Canis lupus familiaris: one gene and its partners. The main gene of each other region encodes a partner of the protein of the gene in region 2 in a complex. Links are inferred from orthologs where the notes say so. Each region holds a gene or a part of one and is shown on either strand. Other genes may lie near its edges. The genes, in order: IGF2BP1, DHX9 and HNRNPU.

Region 1 (6,384 bases), on a different chromosome or scaffold from region 2:
CCTTGTTCCCCAATAAAACAGAAGATTTCAGGAGATTGGGGCTCCTTTTTAGGAAGAGGCCAAGGAATACAACAGCCTTTCTGAGACCATCTTTTAGCCCTTTCAAAAGTCCACACACATCACCAAGAAAAGTCCCCGGGCAACAGACACACATTCTGGCAAGATTTTTTTTTTTTTTTTTTTCTCCTGGACTCTGAATTTTCCTCTGAATTCTCTTTGCTCTGCAGTTTGTATTAGCTGTTTTTTTTTTTTCATTTAAAAAAATGTTTACTGAATGCCTACTATGTGGCAGACACCGTTTCCAGCTCGTTGGTTTGTGTGAAAATTATGGTCTAAGAGCTGACTAAATATTGAGAGTCAGAAACGGTGGGGAGGGGGTCGCAGGAGGTGTGGGGGGTGGGATCCAGATGTCGCCCACCTTCTTGCAGAGAAAACATTCTTTTTCTACTCAGCAACTAACAGCTCATAGTATTTTCTGTTGCCCCATGCAAAGAAAAAAAAAAAAAATCACAAGCCCCCAAATCCAACAAACACGTGGCTGGCTAGAACAAAACGCGGATTTGGAGAGTGGGTTTTGAAGGTGGTGGAGATGGAGAAACCGAGTTGGAAGCCCTCCCCCCACGCCCAAGCCCCGTTTCTTTGCAGCGCGCGGGGAAAACCGGGAGGGGGACAAAGGTGCGGCGTGTGGTCTTTTAACTCCCGACTTTTTGAACGGTATAAAAATCGTCTGGCAGAGGAGCGGTGCGCCCAAGTCGGGAGTCAGCTCCCTGACTCTGCAAACAAAAAAATAATAACAAGGAAAAAAAATCCAAGGCATTCATATCAGTGCAGCCAACACGTGTTGCGGAGTCGGCCCGGGCCGCAGGCGACTGAGACAATGGGGTCGGGGACGGGGAAAGGGAGAGTGACCCCCTTCCTCACCTGCCCTCGCAGCACGCGTGCCCCCGACAGAATTGTTTCTCCCACCCGCACAAGCCAGAGCAAAACCCGAGCTTCCGCCCAGTCCAGGGAGAGTCTGGCATTACTGGGGGTCCACCCCCTCCGCCCCCCGCCCCCGGGCAGGGGAGCTCCGGGGTCCCCGGGCCGCGCTCCCCGCCACCCCCCGCCCCCCGGCGCCGGCCCAGCCCCCTCCACTGGAAACTCGTTGCCCTCGCCCGCCACTCGGCCCGGGATCCTGGTTGCGCGTGGACCGCGCGTCCCGCTCTCCGCCGCCTCTCCCGGACTCCGAAACGCGCGGCGGACGGCCCCCTCCCCCACCGCCGAGACGGGGTGCGCCCGCCCACGTGTCGCCCCTTGCCCAGTCGGGTCCGTCCCTCGGGCTCCCGGGGCCGGAGGATCCGGAGCGAGTTGGTCAAAGGCGAGGAAAGGGACCAGGGCGGATCCGCTTCCCCCTCCCCGGGAACGGGCGGGGGAGGGGCCGCCGCCCCCTCCCCGAAGCTCCCGCCCCTCGCTTCCCCGAGCGCCGAGCGGAAATTACCCCCTCCCCCCGCGGGTCTGACCTGGGGACGTGGGCGGGGCCTCGGCGCTCGGCCCCCCGCCCCCGGCCCCTCTCCCGCCTTCCCGCCCGGATCCGAACGCTGCGCCCCAAACAAAGTTCCGAGCCCCGAACCCGGCGCCGCGAGAGCCGCGGTCGCCGGGCTGGGTGGGGCGGGCGGGAGGGGACTCCACCTGTCTGCCCCCGCGCCCGGGAGGGAGACGGGGAGCGTTCGGATCTCCGCCCGGTCACTCCCTCCCGGAGACGTCCCCTCTGCGGTCCGCTCGGGTCTGCTCCCGCTACCACTCCTCCTCCTCCCCTTCACCCCTCCCTCTCTCCTGGGGTCAGCTTGGGCCGGAGCCGCGCGTCCCCCCAGGACCCCGGGACGGTGTCGTTGGGCAGCCGAGCCCCGGGGGCGAGCCACCCTTCCTTCTCCCGTGGGAACCCCGAAACGCGGTTTCCTGCGGAGCCCTGCTTCCCGGCCGCGGTCCCCCGTGTTCCCAGCTTCCCGGTCCCGCGCTCGCAGGGTCCTTCGGTGCCGGATTCCCGGAGGCAGGGGAGTCTCCCGGGGCCGGGGCGGGCGAGGCCGAGACCCCTCACTAAAAAATCTAGGGGAAGAGCGCCTTTCTTTAAAAATCACCGGCTTGCGCGACCCCCGCCTGGAGACCCCAGAGTCCTCGGCTTCTCTTTGTCTATCTCGGCCGTTCCCCGCCTGTCAGTCGCTAGCAGTTAACCGGGGTAGGGTGGGGAAACTCTCGCCCCCCACCCCCGCCCCGACCCCCACACGAATAAAAAATAACCGCACATTTCACCCATAAAGAGGTGGGAGATTCTGGGCCCGACCGCCCTCCCCCAGCCGGGCCCGGGGTAGGGGGATGGGTGGGGGCGGGGCGCCTCCCTAGGGGCCAGATTCTTGCCAAGGGGGAGGGGGCAATTAGAGCTTCGGGAACGCAGCCCCCACCGCCCAGTTCCCCGCCCGGGGTGGGGGGGGGTTGAGTGCCCCCTCCCTTCCCACCCGGGGCTGGAGATCGGTGGGCTGGGCCCGGCCGGAGGGCCGGTGGGCCCAGAGGCGTCGGGGGTCTTCCCGAGCCGGGTGGGTGGGGGCTTTCACCACGTGGCTTCGCCCTTTTTTTTTTTTTTTTTTCCGCTCCATTTTTTTTCAAGTCGATTTTATTTAGAGGCGGCGCCAGGGCGGCCGCGGAGAAACGTGACACACCAGCCCGCTCGGAGGGGTTTCGGACAGAAGGGAAGGAGCAGCGCCGCGTCGTCCGCCTCCCAGCGCGCCGCGGGCACTTCTCCCGGGCCTCCCCGAACTCTCCCGCGACCTCTGCGCGCCCTCAGGCCGCCCTCCGCGCCGCGGGCTCCGGACAACTTCAGGGGTGGGGTGCAAAGAAAGTTTGCGGCTGCCGCCGCCGGCCTCCCGCCTCTCGGCCTAGGAGGCTCGCCGCCCGCGCCCGCGCCCGCCCGCTCGGCCTTGCCAAGGGACCGCGTCCCGCCCCGACACCGCCACCATGAACAAGCTGTACATCGGCAACCTCAACGAGAGCGTGACCCCCGCGGACTTGGAGAAAGTGTTTGCGGAGCACAAGATCTCCTACAGCGGCCAGTTCTTGGTCAAATCGGGCTATGCCTTCGTGGACTGCCCCGACGAGCACTGGGCAATGAAGGCCATCGAAACTTTCTCCGGTAAGAGCGCGCCCACCTCCCCGCAGAAGCCAGCACGACGCCCCCGGCCCTCCCCGGCTCCCTGCCCGCCAACTCCTCTCTGTCCCCGGCCTGCGCCGCTTGGCCTCGCCATCGACCCTCCGCCCGCCTCTTTCGACGCCCCCTGCGTCCCCCCGCGCCCCCCGCGCGGAAATAGCCCGGACCCCCTCACCCTTTCCTCCCAGCCCGAGCGGAGGCCGGAGGCTTTCGGAAGGCCGCCCCTGCCCCCCACCGACGGGGCGGGGGCCCCACTGGCGGTGTGTCTGTGGGGGTTCCCACTCGGGCGGCCCCCGTCTGGGGCGTTATTCCCCTGCACCCCCGTGTACCCGAGGCCGGACCCCCGCCCCCGCCCCCCACGCGAACACCACCCCCCACCCACCCCCACCCACCCCCAGCTCCCTCTCCTCGGCCCTAGGCCTTTCCGGGCGGGGAAGAGGTCCCCGCGCCGTCCCCGAGCTCCCCGGTTCCCAGTGGGACGGCAGCCTTCGGGCGGGACCGGAGAGGAAGGGGGGTCCCGCCTCCCGCCCTGGGCCTGGGCTTGAGCCATTTTGATTTGAAAGTGGGGCGTGAGCGGGGTGGCGCGGCGGCGGCGGCGGCGGGTCGCCATGCTGCTTCCCGAGACGCCCAGGCTGGGCCGAGAGGCGCGCGCCGCGGCCGCCGGGGACCCTCCCCGCGGGGCCCCGCTCCGCTCCCCCAGGGCCTCGGCCCGCCACCGGCCCCGACAGGTGAGCGCCTCGCCGCCCGGAGCCCTTCTCTGCGGCCGCACGGGGAACTAAAGTTTCGTGCTGCACCCCTCCCCCGCAACGCACTTTGGGAGCACCGAGGAGCCCTTTCTCTCCCCGGCCCCTGCTCCCCACCTCCGGGGGCCGAGAGGCAGCCCGCCCCCACCCACGCCCCGGCCGCCCCCCGCCTCCCAGATCGGGCGCCCGCAGCCATCCACGACCCAAGTGACCTCGGCGAGAGAACAGAACAAAACGAAAATTAACAAAACACAATAACGAATTTATAGATTTCCACCATTCCCAGCGCGACCGTTTCGCGTCCGGCCACGGAACCCACTGCCTGGATTCCTAGGCAGATCTCTGATCACAGTAACTCCTGAATTACCCTCTTTATCCTTTTCCCACCCCACACCCCTGTTCAAGATCTTATATTGTCTTTTTTTTTTTTTTTTTAATCTTTAGGGAAAGTCGAATTGCAAGGGAAACGCCTAGAGATTGAACACTCGGTCCCCAAAAAACAAAGGTAGGAAAGGGCTCTTCGACGAAGAAGGGAGGCAACCTGGGGGCGCTTAGAGGTTGTGTTAAGGGGTCCATAGTGTCTCCAGTGGAAGAAACCCATTACTGGCCTTCCCACCCCCAACTCCGGATGTTGGGGGCAGGGAGGGAAGATTGGCTAAGATCTTGTAATGGGTGGTTTACAGCTTGTAAAAAATAAGCTGGGGTTGGGGTGGGCTGAGAGATGGTATTTGGAGAAGTAAAAGGCAAAAAAAATCAATAGAAAAACCTTGTGGAGTTTGTTCAAGGTGTGTGGGGCCATTTTTGTGGGAAGCTAAAAATCTTTGAAGAGTTGCAACTCGACATTTCTGCAACTTCTAGCAGGCCTCCTTTTTTTTTTCCCCAACCCGTCCTTTAGCATAATTCTTAAGTGGATGGGGGTGGGGGGATCCCTTTGACTTCCTAGGAGAAGTAAAATGAATTCCTGCCCCCAAAAGAATTCCCTTATGCTTGTGTTATATGTGTATTTCTGCAACAGGCAAGGGCATTTTTTTTTCCAGACCCCTAGCCCTAGCCCTTCACATCACACGCCCTCCCCTCCCAACTGGATTTTGCAAAGAATATGCTTTGGCTGTGCGATCCTTTCCGAGCCCCCCTACCCCCACTCCTTCAGTCCATTGTTATAAGGGGACCATCTGGGGTGAGAGCTTTGTGTTCAGGCTGTGAGCTGGGGCTCTTTGGAGGGTCTAGAACTCCCTGGATGAATTGTGAGAGAGGGAGATTGAGTGAGACAGAGTGAGTGTGTGTATGTGTGTCCCAATACCTTCCTACTCATTTAAGCAAAGTGGGGTATCTCTATCATGGTATCCCTAAATCTGGTTCATGGTGGCTTTCAGATCTTTCATTGAACTCTGGCTGGGAAGTATAGGGGCAGAGTTTCTGCTTTCTCAAATCTGACTTTAAACATGTTGACAGTGAAGAGTTTTCCCTCCTGTTGCTGCTCCCAGGAAATCTTTGATCCTCCGGTTCTCTCCCCCATCCCCTCCCTAGGTGTGTTCTCCCTCTCATTTCAACTAGAAACTTGCTGCATTTAGAATAATCCTGGCTTTTTCTGGGTGGGAAAGTGGAGGTGGGTGGCAGTTTTTTGGGTTTTGTTTGGTTTTTTTTTGAGCCTGTGAAGTTTTAACTGTAAAGTATAAGTGAGATAAAAATCGGTCCAGTAGGTTTAGCTTGAGATATTTTAAGTAACTTGGAACTATTGTATCTATAGATGATCAATATGGCTTGTAACTATGTTTATAGAGCCTGTGATTTAACCTCAAATGCTTCAAATACTCTTATTGGAAAGGCAATTAGAGTTAGTAGTAAAGAGGCAATAAAATCGGAAGGAAGAGAAAAAGTCTTATTTATTATTTTGAAACATTTCCTGGAGATGGGAATGAGAGAAACATACTGACACCAGTGGATTTATTGAGAAAACTGGATATTTGAGCTAAAAGCTCAGCGTTTGAAATATGTTGATGAGAAATGTCCAGAATAACTGGAATTCTGACGTGGGATTTTTTTTTTCCCTTTTGCTCTTCTGGATGGTTTAAATTTTAAAGGGAATGAAGTGAAAGCAAGAGAAATTGCAAAATGTGATGAAATGGGACCCCAAACATTTATATTTTAATTTCCATGGTGCTCTGTATTTATGGATCTTTTCCCCCTAAGCCATCTGCTTGCTTTCAAGCCATTTTTAGGCTCCTTCTTGTTCCCTCCAAAATGCATGACTTAGGGCGCTTTTGAGTTAGGAAGGGGTGGGATTTGTAAGAGTGGGAACAAAATCTTCCTTTCCACATCCATATTAAATTCCATCTTTTGTGTGTTCTCTCTCCTGCCCTGAAATAATTTTTTGAGCACACTGAGTTAGTTGTGTGTGTGTGTGTGTGTGTGTGTTTGTGGGGTGGTTGAGAAGGCACTTCATTTTTCTAGAATGAATCAATTTTT
Region 2 (6,401 bases):
CTCACTTGAAAATGATTTATAATGAAACAGAATAGCAGGCAAGCGACAACAAAGAACAAACAACACATTACTCTTTCCAAACAGAAAATACTGTTCTAACACCAAAATAAGTGTCAAAAATCACATAAATGTAAATTGTATTCTGTAGTACCTCACACATGAATTTCTGCCTGTTTTTGTTCCCCACTGCTCTAATTTCATAGGATGGGGTCATCTTCCTTTTGCCACACCAGGCATACAGAAAATTTTTAACATCACCCATGATTCAAGTGTCTTCTTCAGACCTAAGAAAACAAAAGTTACATCACATTATTTATAACAGCAAACACTGCAAAGGACCAGTATCTCTGGTTAACTGAAAATCTAGATTAAACACAGGATATTCTACCAGGCTATTAAAATTGCCTATGACAAAATTTTAATGACATAGTTGGAAAGCCTACAACATGTTATATGAAAGACAGGATATAAAACTACACAATTTGCACTATATAAAAGGATATATGCATAAATCAAGACCGAAAAAGAAATGTCCTTCAAAATGGTTACCTTTGAGTGACTACAAGTGATTCTAAATCGCCCTTTTTATTCTGAGAGAGGAAGAGAGATAATTTTAAGCAGGTTCCAAGCCAGCACGGAACCTGTAAAAGGTCTCTATTTCACCACCCAAGTACCCTTGACCTTTCCTTAAAAACATTTTATGAGGTCTCTGGATAGCTCAGTCAGATGAGCAGGTGATTCTGGATTTCAGCTGGGGTCATGATCTCAGGGTCCTGGGGCTGGGCTCTGCATCAGGCTCTGTTTGGGCAATGGACAGAGTCGACTTGAGGATGCTCTCTGCCCCTCCCCCACTCGTGCATGGGCATGTGCTCTCTCGAATGAATCTTTAAAAAAAATTTTAGGTAATGTCCTCCTTTTTACAATAGGCACCTTATGTGTTTTAACTCATTTAACCCTCAAACAATGGGAGATAATTATATGGTAAATACTATACTATTATCACCTCTATACAAAGGAAGAAACAAGGCAATAGAAAGTTTAACTTCCAAATCACCCACTGTGGAGGCATAAATTAAAACTACAAGATTAAGAAACGGTCATCTATCATGTTGTGTGTAAATCAGAGTGTTTATTCTCATTCTGAGGTGTCTCCTAGCAGACTGTCCTCAAAGTTGTAGGTTATGTATCACACTACTAAGTCCAAATACACCAAGTATTCAGTACTTAGACTAAAAACACTAATCTGGGGCAGCCCCGGTGGCGCAGCAGTTTAGCGCCGCCTGCAGCCCAGGGCATGATCCTGGAGACCCTGGATCCAGTCCCACGTCAGGCTCTCTGTATGGTGCCAGCTTCTCCCTCTGCCTGTGTCTCTGTCTCTCTCTCTCTCTGTGTCTCTATGAATAAATAAATAAAATCTTAAAAAATAATAAAAATACTAATCTGTTAAGCACCCAATCTCTCCTTTAGGCCTTTTTATTCATTATAATTTGAGGATACTAAGTTTTCTTGATATGCACCATACCATACTTGTTGGCACTCTCCCTCTAAACTAGTTTATAAATACACCAAATGATATGGAGCCTATGAGTCTAAAATCTGAATCTAGGGATGCCTGGGTGGCTCAGCAGTTGAGCACCTGCGTTTGGCCCAGGCCATGATCATGGAGTCCCCGGATTGAGTCCTGCGGATCGAGTCCTACGTCGGGTTCCCTGCTTGGAGCCTGCTTCTCCCTCTTCCCGTGTCTGTGCCTCTCTCTCTCTCTCTCTCTGTGTCTCTCATGAATAAATAAATAAAATCTTTAAAAAAAAAATCTGAATCTAAATCAAAAGCAAGATATATGAAGGATGCCTGGGTGGCTCAATTAAGCCTCTGACTCTTGATTTCGGCTAGGGCCACAATCAGGGTCTTGGGATAGAGCCCTGGGTGGGCTCTGAGCTCAACAAGGAGTCTGCTGGAGATTCTCTTTCCCCCTCCCTCTGCTCCTCATTGCACATATGTGCGTGCGTGCTCTCTCTCAAAATAAATAATAAGTATTAAAAAAAAAGGCAAGATATCTAAGACCAAACTTAATCTGGAAAAGATATGCAAAAAAAAAAAAATAGTTTGTGTGTGAGAAGAAACCCTATTACTTCTTCTGTTCAGTGCATTTTGTTAGCACCTAAATCTAACGTCATGAAACTGGACCCTAGTATAAGGTTATTCTGTAGCCACAGGTTAACCTGGGTAAATCCTATTGACCGAAAAGCGGTGGAAAGCTCCCGATGTCCATCTGTAAATTCCACCCCTGAATAATCAACTAAAACAAACAAACAAACAAAAAACAAAACAAAACCAAAAAACAAGAACCTCAGGGTGAAGGAGTACCATGAAATATGAAAGACTACACTATCAAATTCCTTCCTTAGGCAGTCTCAACGAACGCCACTATACTCAATTATCAACTATATGCTGATCGTGCCCAAACATATATTGAAATAGTCTTTTCAAAGCTCCAAAATCAAGTATCATCCAACTACGGCGCTCATGTGCAAACGCTAACCTGACATCTCAGTAAAAACAGACGTTTCCTTTCCACACCTGACCCTTCCTCCCCGCAGTCCAAGTGTTTCCACCTCCTGAAATGGCACCGCCAAGTTACCCCCGTCACAAGCTGGGAGTCCTACGCTCCCTTAATAATGCCCTCCACAGCCATCCCTTGGAGGACTCTCCGTTTGCACACCAGTCAGTAAAGCCTTAGGGGATCATCTACACGTAAACGACTTTTCCTAAACCCTTACAATAATTATGCAGATGAGAATACTTATTCTCCCCGTTTAATAAACTGAGACAAAAACAAAACAAAACAAAAAAACCCCACAAAAATCCCCAAATCCTTCGCCCCAGAGAAGACAAGAGCTCTCTCAGCTGGGAGGAGCCAGACTTCCAGGCCCGGCAGGCGGGCTCCTGACCTACACGCCATTCCGCCTCCAAAACCAGCTTTGCACCCCCTGCGCGTCTGTCCGTCCGTCCGTCCGTCCGTCCGTCCGCTGCCACCACTGCCGCACCCCCCGGCCTCCTGCAATCACGCCCTGGATCTAGGTATCTAAATCGCCGTTTTTCACGCTGACCGTCCTGAAATCCATTCTCTTCACCCTTCAAAATACGCTCTAGGTAACAGGGCCTCCTCGCCGTTTCTTCCCCAACTCCCGCTCTCAAGCGCTAACTGATCCCGCATCTCGGAGCTGACGCATCCTCGACCTCATCCGCTCGGGAAGTCCGCTCTCCCCCCGGCCGCCCGGGTGAAACCAGCCTTCTCCCTCGACGACCTTCCATTTTCTCAAGCTTCTGACCGCAGCCTGCAGACGCTGGTGTTGCCGGAGCCTCCTCCCACCGCCGAAACCTCCCCGCGGAAGAGGGAGGGACTGCGCCCCCACGTGCTCACCGCCCCGCCACCGCACCCGCAGGACAGCGCCCGGTCTTTGTGGCCGAAATGAATGGATGAAGGGCCTCGGGCGTGTGCGGCGTCACGGCGGCCTCGCCAGCCCCGCGATCCCGCCAAGAGCAAGCACGGCGTGCAGGCCGCGGGAGAACGTGGGGCTCGGGGCCGCGGACGAGGGTGTGTGGGGGGGCGGGGGTAACGGGTCCGCCGCACGGGCCCGGGCAGCGGAGGCAGGGGGAGGCGGGGGGAGGCGGGGGGAGGCGGGGGGAGGCGGGGGGAGGCGCGGCGAGCCGCATGCAGCCCGTAATCCGGGAACCCAGCGGGCGCCTCGCCCCTTCCCCCACCCGCCACCGCCGCCCGCGCTTCGCAACAAAGCCCGGCTGCAGGAGCGCGGGGCCCCGCGCCCCACAACGGGTGGCAAAGACGTCTCTACCCTACCGGCGTCCGCCTTCCGGTGTCCGAGAACGCAGCCCTCTCAGAACCCTCCGTGGCCGCGGCCTCCCTCAGAGACGCCCGCTTAACGCACCGCAGCTTGCGCGGAGGCGGCGGAGAAAATGGCTCCGACGGCTGCGCCAGGGGGGCGGGGCCAGCGCGCGTACGCATGCGCAGGGAGCGAGCTCGGGGCCGCGGGCGCCCCGGGGGGGAGGGGCGGGGCCGCGGCTACCGTGCCCGCGCGTGGCGTCCGGTTGCCAAGGAGATCCAGACCCCATTCTTCCCGTGCTGTGCTACCTACCCTAGACTCCCTTGGATAGATACGGAGGGCTGTAAATGATATAGATGTCAAGGACAGATATAGGGCTTAGTTCTTACATTAATTAACATCAATGTTTATTGAAGGGTGTTTTGTTTTGTTTTGGTACTAGGCACTATTGGTACTAGGAAATAGCCATAAATAAGACAGATGTGAGATCCTTTTCTCACAGAGCTTGCATTTGGAGATGACTTCTGTGTATGATAGAGTAGCTTTTAGCAAACCAATTCTCTTGCCAAAAGCAACTCCAAAATCTGAAGCAAAAAAAAAAAAAAAAAAAGTCAAAACAAGACAGCTATTTGAAGCATTAGAGGCAAGGCAGCTAATATCCTGGGGAAAGGGAAACATGAGAGCTTTTTAAAAAAATTTTTTTTTCACATCGGAGCTTTTGTGTCACTTTTCACTTTGATGCATTTGCTGATTCCTAAGCTGCCTAGGCTAAAAGCTAGGTAGAGCATTCAGGAGCCTCATGGTACTGGAGAGACAAAACCTGGAGTTCACCAAGGCACAGAGCCCAGACTTTCATCTGATACCTCCTGCAGGGGTACATTCTAAAAGCAAGGACAAACTCAGGTGAATGAAAACCAGCCTTGAATCATCTCACTTCCTCGTTGGACCAAAGTGCTCTAGCTTTCTCTTTCTGCCAGAAGAGGAAGACAGAATGACCTATAATTTCTATAATTTTTTTATAGAATCGCCCAAATTCAATAAAAAAAAAAGTCCCCAGGCAAGCCAGGAGACAAAACAAATGACTGAAAATCAAGAGGAAAAAATAGAACTATGATCATAAATGATTCAGATATTGAAATTATCAGAGACTTTATAAAAATTACAATTAGTATGTTCAAGAGAATAGATGAAAACACTGGAATAAATATGAAGTATCAAATAGAAATTTTATTTTATTTTTTTTAAAGATTTTATTTATTTATTCATGAGAGACACAGAGAGAGAGGCAGAGACACAGGCAGAGGGAGAAGCAGGCTCCATGCACCGGGAGCCCGACGTGGGACTCAATCCCGGGTCTCCAGGATCGCGCTCTGGGACAAAGGCAGGCGCCAAACCTCTGCGCCACCCAGGGATCCCCTCAAATAGAAATTTTAAAAGTGAAAATGGAATCACCAAAATTCCGGACTTAATTAATGGGTTAATAGATTGTATATAGCAGGAAAAAGGATTGGTTAATGGTAAATAAATAGATCAGTAGAAAATATCCAGTTGGACCTTGCAGAGAAAAGCAAATGATAAATACACGAAAGAACCTAAAAGATGAATGGAACATGGTGAAAAGATATAGTATACATCTAATTAAAGTTTCAATAATGGAGGAGAGATGGAATGGAGAAAAAGCAGTATTTGAAGAAGTATTACCTAAAACCAATGAAGACATAAAGCCACAGATTCAATGAAAGCTTGCATTTGAGCAGACAATAAAAAAGAATGCAAATAAAATATTCACTGGAAATAAGTTGCTATGCAGAGAATTAAATGTAATGTTAATGCTGAGATAGAATTTGCCTGGGTGGCTATTTTAAACTGGATGGTTAAAAATATCATCTCTGAAAAGTTAATATTTAAGCCAACATCTGAAAAGCAGACAAGAAGATAACCATGTGAGGATCAGGAGAAGAGAACTGCAGGCTCTTATATTCCCCTGTAAGGAGGAAAAGAGGTAACAAGTCAAGTCAGTTAGGGCTGAATAAAGTTTGAAACAGAACAATGTCTGTGTTCTCAAAGTACCTTGAGCACCATGATCTTCCCAGCTGGGCAGTTCCAAAGATTATCAGTTGAAGAACAAGACATTTCCAAGGGAAACTCTACCACCGGTCAAGGCAACTCTTTACGGTAAACACCTAAGCTCTTAGTAGGAAACGTCTGCAACACAGATAACTGGATATTTGGGAGGAGAGGATGGTGGGGAAATAAATGGCTGTTATTTCTTCATATGATCCAAATTCCTCCCTTGGAAGCAGAGCCGATGGCCACAGTTTTTGCATTTTATTTCATTCCTTCTGATCCATTTTTCGTGAATCCCCTATAAGAAAGTTCTGTGGTTCCCTTGACTGTGGGTCACAAGCATAAGTCTTTCCTGAACTCCCTCAAGGGAAGTGAACTGTTTTGGCAGGTCACCATGCTTTTAGTTATACACAGACTATACTAAAAGAATTCACCCCAAATTTTCATACATAATTAATTCAGTTAATTGTGGTCCCTTTCTTTTAACTGGAGTAT
Region 3 (5,671 bases), about 20 Mb from region 2:
TACCCGTCCCCGTTCTTTCTGGGGTAGGAAAAGCTGAATCAGGAGACAATTCTGTCTTTCAGAGCCAAATCTCCTCAGCCACCTGTTGAAGAAGAAGATGAGCACTTCGATGACACAGTGGTTTGTCTTGATACTTGTAAGTGAAGCTGTTTCTTCCCTTTTCTCCCCCGGTTACTAAATGTGGCGATTTTGGTGCCAAAATGTTAGAGAACTTAAACGCAGTGTGCTGAATTTAAATGCAGAATACTTAGCGTAAACCGTTTACCTTTTTTAAAGGAGGGAGACGAAAGGTTTTATTCAGATTCTGGTAGCTAAATGTCTAATACAGCATCAATTGTGTCGTATTGATAATTTTATAGGCTCCAGCAATTTGGTGTTATTTTTTATATGATTAGAAAGTTCTCATTTATAGGAATGTAAAATTAATGGCAATTTTTGGTTTAGTTAGCTAATGGAAACTTGTAAGACAACCTGTAACTTGTCCTTTTAGGCTCCTACGATAAAGTAATTTAATTTTTTTGGTAGCATTTTATTAAGTGAGCTATTTGGGCTAGTTAAATACGTATTAATGATTTTTTCCCATTAGCACACAAGTATATTCCCTATTCTAAAAGATTGTAATATTACTTTTTCAATAACTGCTCTTTTGTTCTCAATTCCAGTTCAGTAGCTGCTGCTTTAACATAAGTTGATTTCTTCCAAAGACCTGGGGCAGCAGCAGTGGGCTATCACTGGGCTACTAGCTTTCTTCAGCAGCGAATGGTATCAATGGCAGCGCTGTAAATACTGCTACTTTACCCAGTTGGGTTGCAATTGAGTATGAGGAAGTATTGCAAACCTCTAAATGGGCCTTGGCTGTCAGATATGTAATTTTGCATAAAAATACTTTGTTCAGTATTTGATCAGAATGCACAGCTCTTTCACTTTGATAAATAGAGCTTAGAAATAATGGCTTGCTAAGTAGGTGGTCAGGTGTGAACCTGCCCCATAGATCTAGGGAGTTAAAGTTTAGATTTCCGTGTTTTCCAATACAAATTATTTTTAGCAAGATTTGTGAGAATGTAAATGTTAACTCTTGAGTTCGTATTAAATACCCTTAACAGGTAGTTGAGCTAAGGGAATCTTTTAAAAGAAAAGAAAACTGCACGTGGAAAAATCTTTGATGTGAGAGTTTTATTTTAAATAGTTCCATTGCTTTTAAATATGACTAAGTTGGAATTGGCAAGATAGTGAAGCAGTGCTTCCAGAAGTGACGCTACCGCCCAAGTAGATGGGGTTTTAGCTGATTACCTAGGAACATCAACTTAATTTGTTGCTATCTATATTGGGTTCAAACACAGTTGGTCGAATTGAAAATTCTGTCAGTATTCTTGAGAGCTAAGCTCATTTAAGGAGAATCCCAAGCTGTAGATCTAATTTCCTGTCATCAATAAAAGCATAAGAAAACGGGTTTTTAACTTGTGATGCAAACTCCAAGAAGGTGCATGCTAATGAGCCACTGACCCAAAGATAGCTAGGTTAAGGACCTTTCTTTGGGATTTGGGTAATCCTCGAAGGGATAATCCTCCGTTGTTATTGACTGACCCTCTGGCCTGGGGAAAAGGGAGCTAAAATGCTGTAATATTAACAGTGTCCGACAAGCAGGTTTGCATTTGGCTAGGTTGAGGCTGCCTTCTTCACAGTGTGAGAACTTAGGGTCTAGAGCCCCTGGTGTTTTAAAATCACAAAGCACAGGATCAACAAACAGCTCACACTCCTGTATTTAAAGTGTGTGGTCATGGCCTCCCTTCAGTTTTATTGTGGCACTGGTAAATTCTACCTGGTTCTGGCATGCTTCACTTTGATTTCCTGCTATCCTCTACTGCTTGCCTCTAAATCAAGGTAAAGAGCAGAGCAGGTATGTATCCCATGTCACATTGTCTTGATTATTTTATATACTTAGAATACACGTTAAATTTGGTGTTTTGGTTTTGTAGGCAGTTTACACTTTAGTTCATAATTTGGTGAGAGTGACTTGGTGGGTGTGGGGCCTAAAGTGAAGATCAGCAGCATGATCTGTAGAAGCAGTGTGTCCCAATGCAGCTTTAGGAAATATGCAAGAATATAATAACCAGGTTTTGTTGATGTAGCAGATATATTTGCATTGGATGTCAAAAGAAATAATATGGTATTTGATATAATTACAGATAATTGTGATCTACATTTTAAAATATCAAGAGACCGCCTCAGTGCTTCTTCCCTCACTATGGAGAGTTTTGCTTTTCTTTGGGCTGGAGGAAGGGCATCTTATGGTGTGTCAAAAGGCAAAGTCTGTTTTGAGATGAAGGTAAAAGCAGTTTTTTTTTAAGAACCTCTGAGTTACCATTTGCCTGACACTTCATAGTGTCATTGGAACTTTTTATCTTTGAAGTTTCTGTGGATTGAAAGAGACTTGGAAAAACCTTTCTTTTATGACAGTTAACTATATCTGTTACATTAGTAATTTCTATTGTAGGGTCAGCCTGTCTTTATTTAGGTTACTCTTATCAAGCACTTGAAAAGCCCATGAAGGGTTTAAAAATAATTTGATTTAAGCTTTGGGTTTCGTTCCATAGCAAAACAGGTTGAATGTATACTTTAATTGGTTTTTGAGTCAAGAATCTGTAATCTTTGAACTTTAACAGTTCTTTTAAATGTGAGTCGATCAAGGACTTGAATGTTTTCGGCTCAAGTTCCAAGCTCTTCTGTCAATTTTTAAAGTTCTTGTAAATGTAGGGGAGAGATGGTGAGGTAGAATGGGTCTCTTCCTGTTAGTAGAGAAGAATTAGCCCACAGCCCAGATGAAGTAAACAAGGGGTCAGGGGTTTATCTTCTTTGTAATCATTTATGATTTGATTTTTCAGGTTACAGAGAAGATCCCAGTAAGGCATTTATATACAAAAGATATTGACATACATGAAGTTCGGATTGGCTGGTCACTAACCACAAGTGGAATGTTGCTTGGTAAAGTTTCCATTTGAGTAGTATGTGCTCATGTGTGTTTAGGGTCTGATTTCAGTAGTTAGACTAGGAGGCTTTCTAAACCTGCCTGTTTTTAATCCGTTTTGTTATTTTAGTTGTGAATGATAACTAGCATGTATCAACTGACTTGAGGGTTTTTTTTTCTCTCCCCTTTTTGGTTACTTATTTTATGACCAGTGGTTAAAAGCCACTATCCCATGATGTGCAATTTTTAAGATAGTTATATAACCCACCTAGCTCTCAATTTTCTACATCTAGGTAAAGTGTAAGTGGAAGAATGTTAGGTTATGTACTCCTTTCTCTTGATTGTATCTTGAATATTAAAATATGTGGGTCATTGGACTGTTTTGAACAATCGATTTCATGAAAGTTAAATTTATTTTCTTAGGTGAAGAAGAATTTTCTTATGGGTATTCTCTTAAAGGAATAAAAACATGCAATTGTGAGACTGAAGATTATGGAGAGAAATTTGATGAAAATGATGTGATTACATGTTTTGCTGTAAGTCATAAGTCACCCAAATTTCTATTTTAAAAGTGAGCATTATTAATTAGAATTTTTTTTAAGTTATATCCTCTGCCTTCAATACTAACCTGTTCCCCCTGAAAACTACTTAACATGAAGTTGGCCTGAAAATCTAGTCTGTTTATGAAGGCAGCATTGTTTCTGCTTCTAGATACAAATGTTTTAGTCTTCATAAGTGTTACAAAGCTCCTAACATTTAACTTATAAATACATTTTTTATTGGATGAGCTTCATTCCTTTCAATTTTGAGTTTTGTTTTTTTTTTTTTTAAGGAAGTTTAAAGGAGGCAGATTAAAACTTAATTTTTTTCCTACTTAACAGAACTTTGAAAGTGATGAAGTAGAACTCTCCTATGCAAAGAATGGACAGGATCTTGGTGTTGCCTTCAAAATCAGTAAGGAAATTCTTGCTGGAAGGCCACTCTTCCCGCATGTTCTCTGCCACAACTGTGCAGTTGAATTTAATTTTGGTCAGAAGGAAAAGCCATATTTTCCAATACCGGAAGATTATACTTTTATCCAGAATGTCCCCTTAGAGGATCGAGTTAGAGGACCAAAGGGGCCTGAAGAGAAGAAAGATTGTGAGGTAAGTAAAATGTTTTTTCCTTAAGCATTTGAAGAATACTTTTGTTTGGCAAAAATTACACTTGGAAGTTCTGGATGATTAATCTGTTTGATTCTGCCATGATTGTTACAGCCAGTGATTTTTCTCTTAGTAGCTGTGTTCTTTATATAGTATTGAGTTTCTAAAACTTCCCTTTGCTTTTAGGGCAATGAAAATCTAAACCGGGCTCTTTTGCTTTAAAAAAAAAAAACACGTAGGGAATTCTTAGATGGCTCTGGTGATAAGTGAAATACTGTTTTTTCTTACTCTAGGTGGTTATGATGATTGGCTTGCCTGGAGCTGGGAAAACCACCTGGGTTACTAAACATGCAGCAGAAAATCCTGGTAAATACAACATTCTTGGAACAAACACCATAATGGATAAGATGATGGTAAGTAAAGTATGTATTTATTGTGTGTTCTCAGCACTTTGAAAAGACCAGAAGATACTCCAACTTTTTTGCCTGTTGCCTTTATGCATTTTGTGTTTCTGTTTTAGAGTTTGGCCAAGTTATCTTGGTTAAAGTAGGAGGATGTAAGGTAAACTGCATGTATGTGTAAGGTGAAGTGCCTTCCACTGGCTAGGCTTTATTTTTTTCTGTAAAATTTTTTGAACTACTAAGCAATTAGTAGCTAAGAAAGAACTGAATAGCAGAGGATTTTGTGACATGGTTAAGTGATTCATCATAATGATGAGGAAAGGGACTATTTAAATTTGAAAATGTCTGATTTCTGCATAGATCTAAGCTGATACTAAAAAAGCCTAAGTTTCATCCACAAGTTCAAAGGAACTTTTTTAACTTTTAAAACAGGTGGCGGGGTTTAAGAAGCAGATGGCTGATACTGGAAAATTGAACACACTGTTGCAGAGAGCTCCCCAGTGTCTTGGGAAGTTTATTGAGATTGCTGCCCGCAAGAAACGAAATTTCATTCTGGATCAGGTAAACTGTATCTTTGAGGTTGGAAAAAAAGAATGGATTGTGGGGTTTCATGTGGAGCTAATATTTGGGTTATCAAACTTTGTTTTCAAGACAAATGTGTCTGCTGCTGCCCAGAGGAGAAAAATGTGCCTGTTTGCAGGCTTCCAACGAAAAGCTGTTGTAGTTTGCCCGAAAGATGAAGACTACAAGCAAAGAACGCAGAAGAAGGCAGAAGTAGAGGGCAAAGACCTACCAGAACACGCGGTCCTCAAAATGAAAGGCATGAAATTTAGTTTTGTTACTGTGTTAAATCTTTTTTGTGTCCATGAACTACTGTCGGTTCAGATTATCTTCAATGGAAATGAACATTTTTGGTTTATTTCTGTTTTTAGGAAAAGTGTTTGTAAAGCTGAGCAGGCAGCACAGTGTGGGTTTCAAAGAATCAAAGCCACTCAGTTTAGGCTTCAAAGTTGTGGGAGTTGTGAGGTTTTAGCTAATCTGGTCTTACTCCTTGTAGGAAACTTCACGCTGCCAGAGGTAGCCGAGTGCTTTGATGAAATAACCTATGTTGAACTGCAAAAGGAGGAAGCCCAGAAACTTTTGGAGCAATACAAGGAGGAAAG

The links.
Region 1: DHX9 (region 2) and IGF2BP1 share a complex: the UniProt entries of both Homo sapiens proteins name them as parts of the coding region determinant (CRD)-mediated complex. The link is inferred for Canis lupus familiaris from reciprocal best matches to the Homo sapiens genes DHX9 and IGF2BP1.
Region 3: DHX9 (region 2) and HNRNPU share a complex: the UniProt entries of both Homo sapiens proteins name them as parts of the coding region determinant (CRD)-mediated complex. The link is inferred for Canis lupus familiaris from reciprocal best matches to the Homo sapiens genes DHX9 and HNRNPU.

What each region holds. Positions count from the first base shown.
Region 1 is NC_049230.1:25,146,624-25,153,007, forward strand, and holds the start of IGF2BP1 (insulin-like growth factor 2 mRNA-binding protein 1), read left to right. Parts: upstream 1-2,959; 5' UTR 2,960-2,985; coding exon 2,986-3,160; intron 3,161-4,362; coding exon 4,363-4,423; intron 4,424-6,384. UniProt on the Homo sapiens protein: RNA-binding factor that recruits target transcripts to cytoplasmic protein-RNA complexes (mRNPs). This transcript 'caging' into mRNPs allows mRNA transport and transient storage.
Region 2 is NC_049228.1:16,110,396-16,116,796, reverse strand, and holds the start of DHX9 (ATP-dependent RNA helicase A), read right to left. Parts: upstream 4,000-6,401; 5' UTR 3,857-3,999; intron 285-3,856; 5' UTR 263-284; coding exon 152-262; intron 1-151. UniProt on the Homo sapiens protein: Multifunctional ATP-dependent nucleic acid helicase that unwinds DNA and RNA in a 3' to 5' direction and that plays important roles in many processes, such as DNA replication, transcriptional activation, post-transcriptional RNA regulation, mRNA translation and RNA-mediated gene silencing.
Region 3 is NC_049228.1:35,780,773-35,786,443, reverse strand, and holds part of HNRNPU (heterogeneous nuclear ribonucleoprotein U), read left to right. Parts: intron 1-62; coding exon 63-136; intron 137-2,186; coding exon 2,187-2,326; intron 2,327-2,882; coding exon 2,883-2,982; intron 2,983-3,388; coding exon 3,389-3,501; intron 3,502-3,846; coding exon 3,847-4,110; intron 4,111-4,400; coding exon 4,401-4,520; intron 4,521-4,940; coding exon 4,941-5,069; intron 5,070-5,159; coding exon 5,160-5,328; intron 5,329-5,565; coding exon 5,566-5,671. UniProt on the Homo sapiens protein: DNA- and RNA-binding protein involved in several cellular processes such as nuclear chromatin organization, telomere-length regulation, transcription, mRNA alternative splicing and stability, Xist-mediated transcriptional silencing and mitotic cell progression.